Cricetulus griseus: one gene and its partner. The protein of the gene in region 2 purifies or fractionates together with the protein of the main gene of each other region. This does not show direct contact. Links are inferred from orthologs where the notes say so. Each region holds a gene or a part of one and is shown on either strand. Other genes may lie near its edges.

Region 1 (3,655 bases), on a different chromosome or scaffold from region 2:
CTGCAAAAGCTTTTGCATTAATGACAACAAGGGGTCCGAATGGAGCAGGAGTCAGGAGCCTTCTGTATTTCAGAGTACATGCTACTTTTGTTGAGACAGAATAGATTGGATGTCTGTTAAATACTATTTTGTGCCAACCTTGTTGAGTTACTCTATGTTAACTATACTAAGAGGACTTGAGGTAAGTTGGGAACTGTGGATTTACGATAGGCTAACCAGAGTGTTAATCAGTCTTTGGGTTTTAATGGCCTGCTGTGTGTTTGGGAGGTGACGGGGCCCTGAGAATAAAAGAGGCCTACAGATCATTAGCAGTTTTTAGCTTTCAAGGGAAAAATGTTCACGTCAAGTGTTATCAAAGGTAAGAGAACATGAAGCTGAATATTTTTCAGATAATGACAAGTATGAGTTGTTTTTGTTTTTAAAGTATATACATTTAAGTGGAAGTATGCAAAAGGCCATACCTAGTTTTGTGTGAGAAATAATACGAAAAGCCAGTTTTGCTTTGATGTTCTGTTTCTTATGCATTATTTTTATGGAATAAGATGTCAATGTTTTACAGGCTAAAGCTATTTGTGTTAGTCATTCCCAATATCATACAGGAGAAATCAGTTTGGTATGAATCTGAGAATATTTTTCCCATGCTACCTCAGGGTAAAACTCCACCAGGGATTGCTTCAGCTGTCACTTCAATCAGCACCGTCAGCAACACAGTTGCAACACCTGCCAGTTATCACATGAAGAATGATCCCAGGGAGCTAAAAGAGCTGAAGCAGGTTTGTCATAGGAGCTAACAGAAGTAGGCGTCTACTAGTGTTAGTAAGTTAATGTAGATACCTTACCTAAGGAGATAAGTAATATTGAGTGTATTAAAGGTTAGAATTTTAAAAAGCCTTTTTGAAGCAATATCTCATGTTGCCTAGATTGGCCTCTAAACTCATTGTGAAGCCAAGGATGACAAACTTCTTACCCTCCTGCCTCCACTTAGAAGTGCTGAGACTGCACCTGGTTCTGTGTTGGGGCTGGAGAGAGCCCAGGACTTCTGCATGCGGGCAGCCTACTGACTGTCACCATCCTCAGCATTCACACTTGAAGCTGATTTTAAAATTACAATAGGGCTGAAAGGTACAGGGACAGCTCTGCTCTGAAACAATGGTCAGTGGAGTCACAGTTGGACATAAAAGTGAACACTGTTGAGTTCGTGTGGCTTTTCCCTTGAACGAGATTTGGGGAGCATATGCTGAAAATTGAATTTGTAGCTTGTTTGAATTAGCCTAGAAGGTACATAGTAATTAGTGAGAGTGAGAGCTGGCAAACACTGCTTTTCAACAAGCATTTGTGTTTGCATAAAGAAAATACAAGAATAGTAACCTTTATTTACCTGTAATGCCCTGGGATTTAGAAAAAATTTTCTGACTAAAATTGAGGCCATAATTTACCTCTGCATGTATATCGTTGAATGCTAATAAGGTTAGGGTATCTGAGTTTGTTGGTAGAATGGGTTCTGTGTAATTCTTTTAAGCATTTATTACTTACAGGAAAGTTCAGAAATGTTTATACGTTCTTGTTCTTCTGATTTGACTTAGAATAGGATATACATAAAAGAAGGCTTTAAACATTTTTAGATTTCATTTTACATGTGTGGGTGTTTGCCTACATGTTGTGTGTATGCACACCACTTGTACCTTATGTCAGTGGAGGTCAGCAGAGGCATCAGGTCCCCTGGAACCAGGGTTACAGATGGATGTGAGACACCATGTTGGTGCTAGGAATCAAATCCAGGTCTTCTGGAAGAACAGCCAATTTTTTTTTTTTTTTTAAACAGTTGAACCATCTCTAGCCCCCTTACCAAGGCTTTATTTTTTATTTTTTTCAAGACAGGGTTTCTCTGTGGCTTTGGAGACTGTCCTGGAACTAGCTCTTGTAGACCAGGCTGGCCTCGAACTCACAGAGATCCATCCTCCTGCTAATAAGGCTTTAAAAATACCTTTCATTAGCTGAGTGCATTGGTGCAGTTGATGTACACTAGGGAGGCAGAGACAGGCACAGAACTCTCGTGAGTCCAGGGCTAACCTGGTCTGTATAGCTAGTTCCAGGCTATCTAGGACTGCATGGTGAGACCTGTCAACAAATCTTTTATCTAAATTTTTAATTCTGTTTGGCCTTATATTTGGAATTATTTTTTTGTAATCATGGGCCTAGAGAAACCATGCATTTGCTGTTAGATTAGGAAGAAAAAACATTCAGAGAGCATTGTTGTTCAGATACTTCAATTCACAGATTAAAACTTTAATTCTGACAACATAGCCATACACCGTCTTTATGTATTGACAACCCTTTACTCAACACAGTGATGAAAATGTCCTTTAGTTCCTGTCTTCACAGAATGCATTGCAAATGCTTGTAGATTTGACCTTGACTTTCTATGTGTAGTCCCTAGCTCCTTTCTGATAGCCCCTACAAAGTTAGTACAGTGGAAATCTCTGTGTGGGGCTACCGCAGACAGGCAGAAAGAATACAGTGGTGGAGAATGTATGGCATACAGTCTTGACACTGTAGCCTATTCTCACCCGAGGTGCTAAGGTTGGCTTATTTCATGGTCCTAGTCCCCTGTCTGCTGGGATTAATGGTGAGCATTACACCCCACATTTATTTGGGACTTTAATTTTTTATTTTAAAGTCATTAGAATTCCCCTCTCTCCACTACTAGCTTCATATATATCATTCTGTAGTCAACACTGGGCCAACAGTATGATTTTCTTCTGCATTTTTTGCTCCTGTACTTGGGGTTGAGCCAATGACCATTATGTGTGTGAGGCAAATGCTCTGCTGCCCAGCACTGTCTTCGTTGTTAGGCAACACTTGAGGACTCGTCTGTTGTTGAGTACTGCCTGCCTTACAGAGGGAGGCACATGCTTTCCCCTTTGAAATTCAGGTTGGGTTGTGCAGGATGGGGTATGAAAACTCAGTTTGAAGTGAATTTTAATTATTGTCAAGAAAATAGAGTAAATATTTTAGCAAAATATATCAGGTACAGACTTTTTATACTAGAGATGGACTTGGTTGGACATTAGGGAGATTGCGGTAAAGAACAAATGTCAGCAGGAGAAACTCAGAGCAAATTGAGGTAATTAAGTCTCTTCACACTTGAAAAGTGGGAAATGTGCGGGCAGGTCAGGTAGTCAGGGTTGTGCACTAGAACCCCTTGTTGCCCTCAGAAAGTACTGGCACGGGCAGCTTCAGGAAGAAGACTTGGTTTGAGGAGCAGTGCAGTCTAGCACCAGTAGCTGGTAGTCTGCAGGCAGGAGACAGCGGTGAATGCTGGTGCTCATTGCTCTTCCTTTTTTTTTTTCTGTTGAGGACCCGCCCATGTGACGGTGCCACTCACTCACTCACTCACTCACTCACTCACTCACTCACTCACTCACTCACAATTAGGGTCTGTTGCCCCATCTCGATTAACCCAGTATAGAAAAGAAAGAATTTTGCAGCCCTAGGTGATTCTAGACCTGTCTGGTTGACAGCATTAACACTGTAGTCCCATTGGCCACCAGAGTGGTTCTGCACAGTCTCTGATCCTGGTACAGATGACTGCTGTGTGATGCTGTGAAATGTAATTTGGTAAATGCCTTGATCAGCAGTTTATATCTGCATAAAG
Region 2 (3,655 bases):
AGCCCAAGAACTCAGCATGTCAGAGCAACTGAAGTGATACCTTACAGTAAGCAGGATGGCAGCAGTTATTCAAGAACTCCAAGTTTGCAAAAGAAGATATGCTGAACTAGCTGTTTTTCTTCTAAAGTAATGGTTCTGACCTTCCCTTCTAAAGCCTTCTCTTCATTCACATGAACAGGTGTTTTAAACTTGTCAGTGTTAAGTTGCAGCTTAAGTCTATAATTTCCATATACAGTCACTGATATCCCTCACCAAAATATTTAACCATTTTTAAAATACAATAGCTTTATATATGGGGGAAAAATAAAAGCCAACCAGACAGAGTCTTCCTTTGTAGCCCAGAGTGGACTCAACTTGGGATAAAAAGTGTGCTCAAACACACCTGGTTTTATGTGAAGCTGGGGCTGGAACCCAGGGCATTTGCACATGCTTGTACATTTACTAATTTCAGTATACAATTAAAGATTTTCACAACTTTGTTACGATAAATCTTTCCGCCAAAGCCGCCCGAGTTCTGCCCGACATGTGGATGGACAAAATAATGCAGACTTATATTAGGTACAAATGCTGCTTGGCCAATGAGTAGGATTTCTCATCTGCTAGCTCAGTTTTAATTATCATAAATCTATATATAAGACTTATCGGACGCCTTCCATTGGCACCCTCCCTTGCCGGTGGATCATATGGCACCACTGGAGGAGGTGAAGGGAAAAAAGGGGCGGACTTCCTGTTTTTCCTTGCTTAAATATGAGTCTCCTTGCTATGTCACTTCCTGCCTGGATCACCACTTCTCTACTACATTTCCCAGAATCCTCTTTGACTCCTAGTCCTGCCTAACTTGCTGCCTCATTGGCCAAACAGTACTTTATTTATCATCCAGTAAGACAAACACATACACAGAAGTACTTCCCCAATCACGTTGTTCAACCATCACTACTATCTAGTTCCAGAACTTCCATGACCCTGAAAGAATACTTCATACTTAACAACCAGTCACATAGCCATCCTAGAACACAGTTTAGATGCTGCTCTAGAGTGTTCTGTAAAATATTCAGTGTTTGCTAAAGTGATCATTATAGTTGTAGAACAGTTATATAAACCAACCTCTTTCTATGATATTGTACTACTGAGCTGAACAAAAGACATTTAAAGTTGAAGGCATGTTATCCAGCATTCAGTTCATCCTGCTAGTAAATGACATGAGAAACTAAGCCCTACTGAAGAAAAGTAACGTGGCTGTGTCAGAGCTGGGACCAGAATCCAGTTCTGTTGACATAGCTATGTTTCTAGAATCAGGCCATAAATCAGGTGCATTATTTAATGTGTTTATATTTCTGTTATCAGTGGGTAAGATAAGGTTTGTAACAGACAGTGTCCCTTTAGATGGACCCGATAGTTCCACTTTAGATGTGATAATGTAGCAGCTAGCTACTGAACAAGACTGGCTCATTATTCCGTATGTCAGTCTTGTTTATTGACTACAGAGTTTTCTCTGTTGACATTCTAATGTAAGTTGTCTTGCAGCATCTTAGGTGAGCAAAGAAAGTGCTTGTACATTTGTTACCAAGAGTCTTTCAGAGACGAGCTCACATTAACTTTGAATTTTATATTGGAAGTAACATGTATTTTCATGAGATTTCCTTGAACAGCATTCTTTTTTAATATTTATTTTTATTTTATGTGTGTATGGAGTGCTTGCATGTATGTATATATGCCATATGCATGCAAGCCTGATGCTCTCAGGGGATAGAAGAGGGTATCTGAACTTCTGAAACTCTAATTACAGCAAAGCTGCCATGTAGAGGTAACCAAACCCAGGTCCTCTGCAAGAATAGCAAGTGCTCTTATCTTCAGCACTGAGCAGTCTCTCCAAGCCCACATTCTTTATCTTCATACTCAACCCTGATGATCAGCTCATAGTAATGGGAGCTTGGCCCTTGAGATGAAACTAGAGGAATACAATATGTTAATGTCATCTTTCCTTACAGGACAAGAAGGAAATGGCCATCAATGACTGCAGCAAAGGTAAAACTTCTGTTGACTAAAAATATTGCCTCAGTGAGACAGACAGAGTTGGATATGTATTCAGGCGAGTCTCTCATACTGGGGCTTTTAAAGAAGCAGTTTATGGGATGACATTTTCAGAGGTACTGTGTGGGCATCATGTTAGGGTAAGCATGCTTTCAAGTGGATTTTCAGCCTATTATGTAGTCAATATGTAAAAACATTTGAAGCTACCTTGGCATCAGAACTCAAGTGTGGAACAGAATTTACCTCCCATAGCCTTCAAATTACCTGTCTTTGTGACTCATTGAGGATCTTAGTCTCTGAACTCACGCTCACAGCTGTTTAGGTATCTACATGTATGCATCATAGGCTAGAATCTATGTGTAGGGAGAACATAGAGTTTTTTTTTCTTTCTGAGTTTGAATCACTTCCCTTAATATTATACTTCCTAATTCCATTCATTTTCCTCAAGTTTTCTTTACAGCTGAATAATATTCCACTTTGTATATGTACTGCATTTTAAATCCCCATTTGTCTGTTAATGGGCTTGGTTCCCTATCTGTGCTAGCAGTAAACACTATCTCTGGAGCTCTCTAGATTTATGCCTAGGAGTGGAATAGAATAGCTGGGTTATATGGTAGTTCTGGTTTTAAATTTTTGAAGAATCTCCAAACTGAGTTCCATAGTAACTGTATTAATTTGCACCGCCAGCAGCAATGAATGAGGGCTCTTCCAAAGGTACATAGGACCGTTTCTTGTGATGACAGTTTCTTTTCTTTTTAGCAATTCAGTTAAACCCCAGCTACATCCGTGCAATATTGAGGAGAGCAGAGTTGTATGAGAAAACAGACAAACTAGATGAAGCACTGGAAGATTATAAATTGATATTAGAAAAAGATCCATCAATACATCAAGCAAGAGAAGCTTGTATGGTAAAACAAATTTTAAAGTATTTTCTTGGGATGGGTACAGTGGTGCTTGCCTTTAATTCCAGCACTCAGGGGGCAGAGGCATGTGGATCTCTGTGAGTTCAAAGCCAACCTGAACTATATAGCAAGTTCCAGATCAGCCAGAGCTATGTATTAGAGACCTTCCTCTGTCTCTCTCCTGCTACCTGCACCCCCCAAAAAAATCTGTTTCTTTTGCTTTGTACTCAGTGACTTTTTAGTCTTTTGGCCTACAACTAAATTCTATTTTTATGATTACCAAATATACGGGAGATAGATCTTTATGATGGCTACTTACTCATTGGGACCATGTACCATTTGATCTCCACTCTGAAAGTGACATGAACCAGCATGACAGCGCACTCCTGTAATCCCAGCACTGGAGCAAAAGAAACATAAATTTGGAACTAGCTGGACTATATAGAAAGACCCTATCTCAAAAAATTAATTAAGCAAAAACAATAAATGACTTGCATAAGCTTTTTTCTCTGTTGTATCAGGCATATTTTGTTACACATGGTTTAGTGAGTGTCTTCTAAAATTTTATATTACTTTGTGTGTATGAGTGCTTTGCCTGCATGTAAGTATGTATACCACATGGTACTCAGTGGCTGTGGAGGTTAAAAGAAAGCATCAGATCCCCTAGAAATGGAGTTAATGGGTGATTTTGAACTATGCTTTTGTATTGTCTGTCTGTTTGA

What was found.
Region 1: the proteins of Ttc1 (region 2) and Vapa purify together in Homo sapiens (affinity purification with mass spectrometry; 5 studies listed by BioGRID and IntAct, counting the BioPlex papers as one, with this or other methods). This does not show direct contact. The link is inferred for Cricetulus griseus from reciprocal best matches to the Homo sapiens genes TTC1 and VAPA.

Annotation. Positions count from the first base shown.
Region 1 is NC_048595.1:454,539,541-454,543,195, reverse strand, and holds part of Vapa (vesicle-associated membrane protein-associated protein A), read left to right. Parts: intron 1-650; coding exon 651-773; intron 774-3,655. UniProt on the Homo sapiens protein: Endoplasmic reticulum (ER)-anchored protein that mediates the formation of contact sites between the ER and endosomes via interaction with FFAT motif-containing proteins such as STARD3 or WDR44.
Region 2 is NC_048600.1:58,396,017-58,399,671, reverse strand, and holds part of Ttc1 (tetratricopeptide repeat protein 1), read left to right. Parts: intron 1-1,988; coding exon 1,989-2,025; intron 2,026-2,790; coding exon 2,791-2,939; intron 2,940-3,655.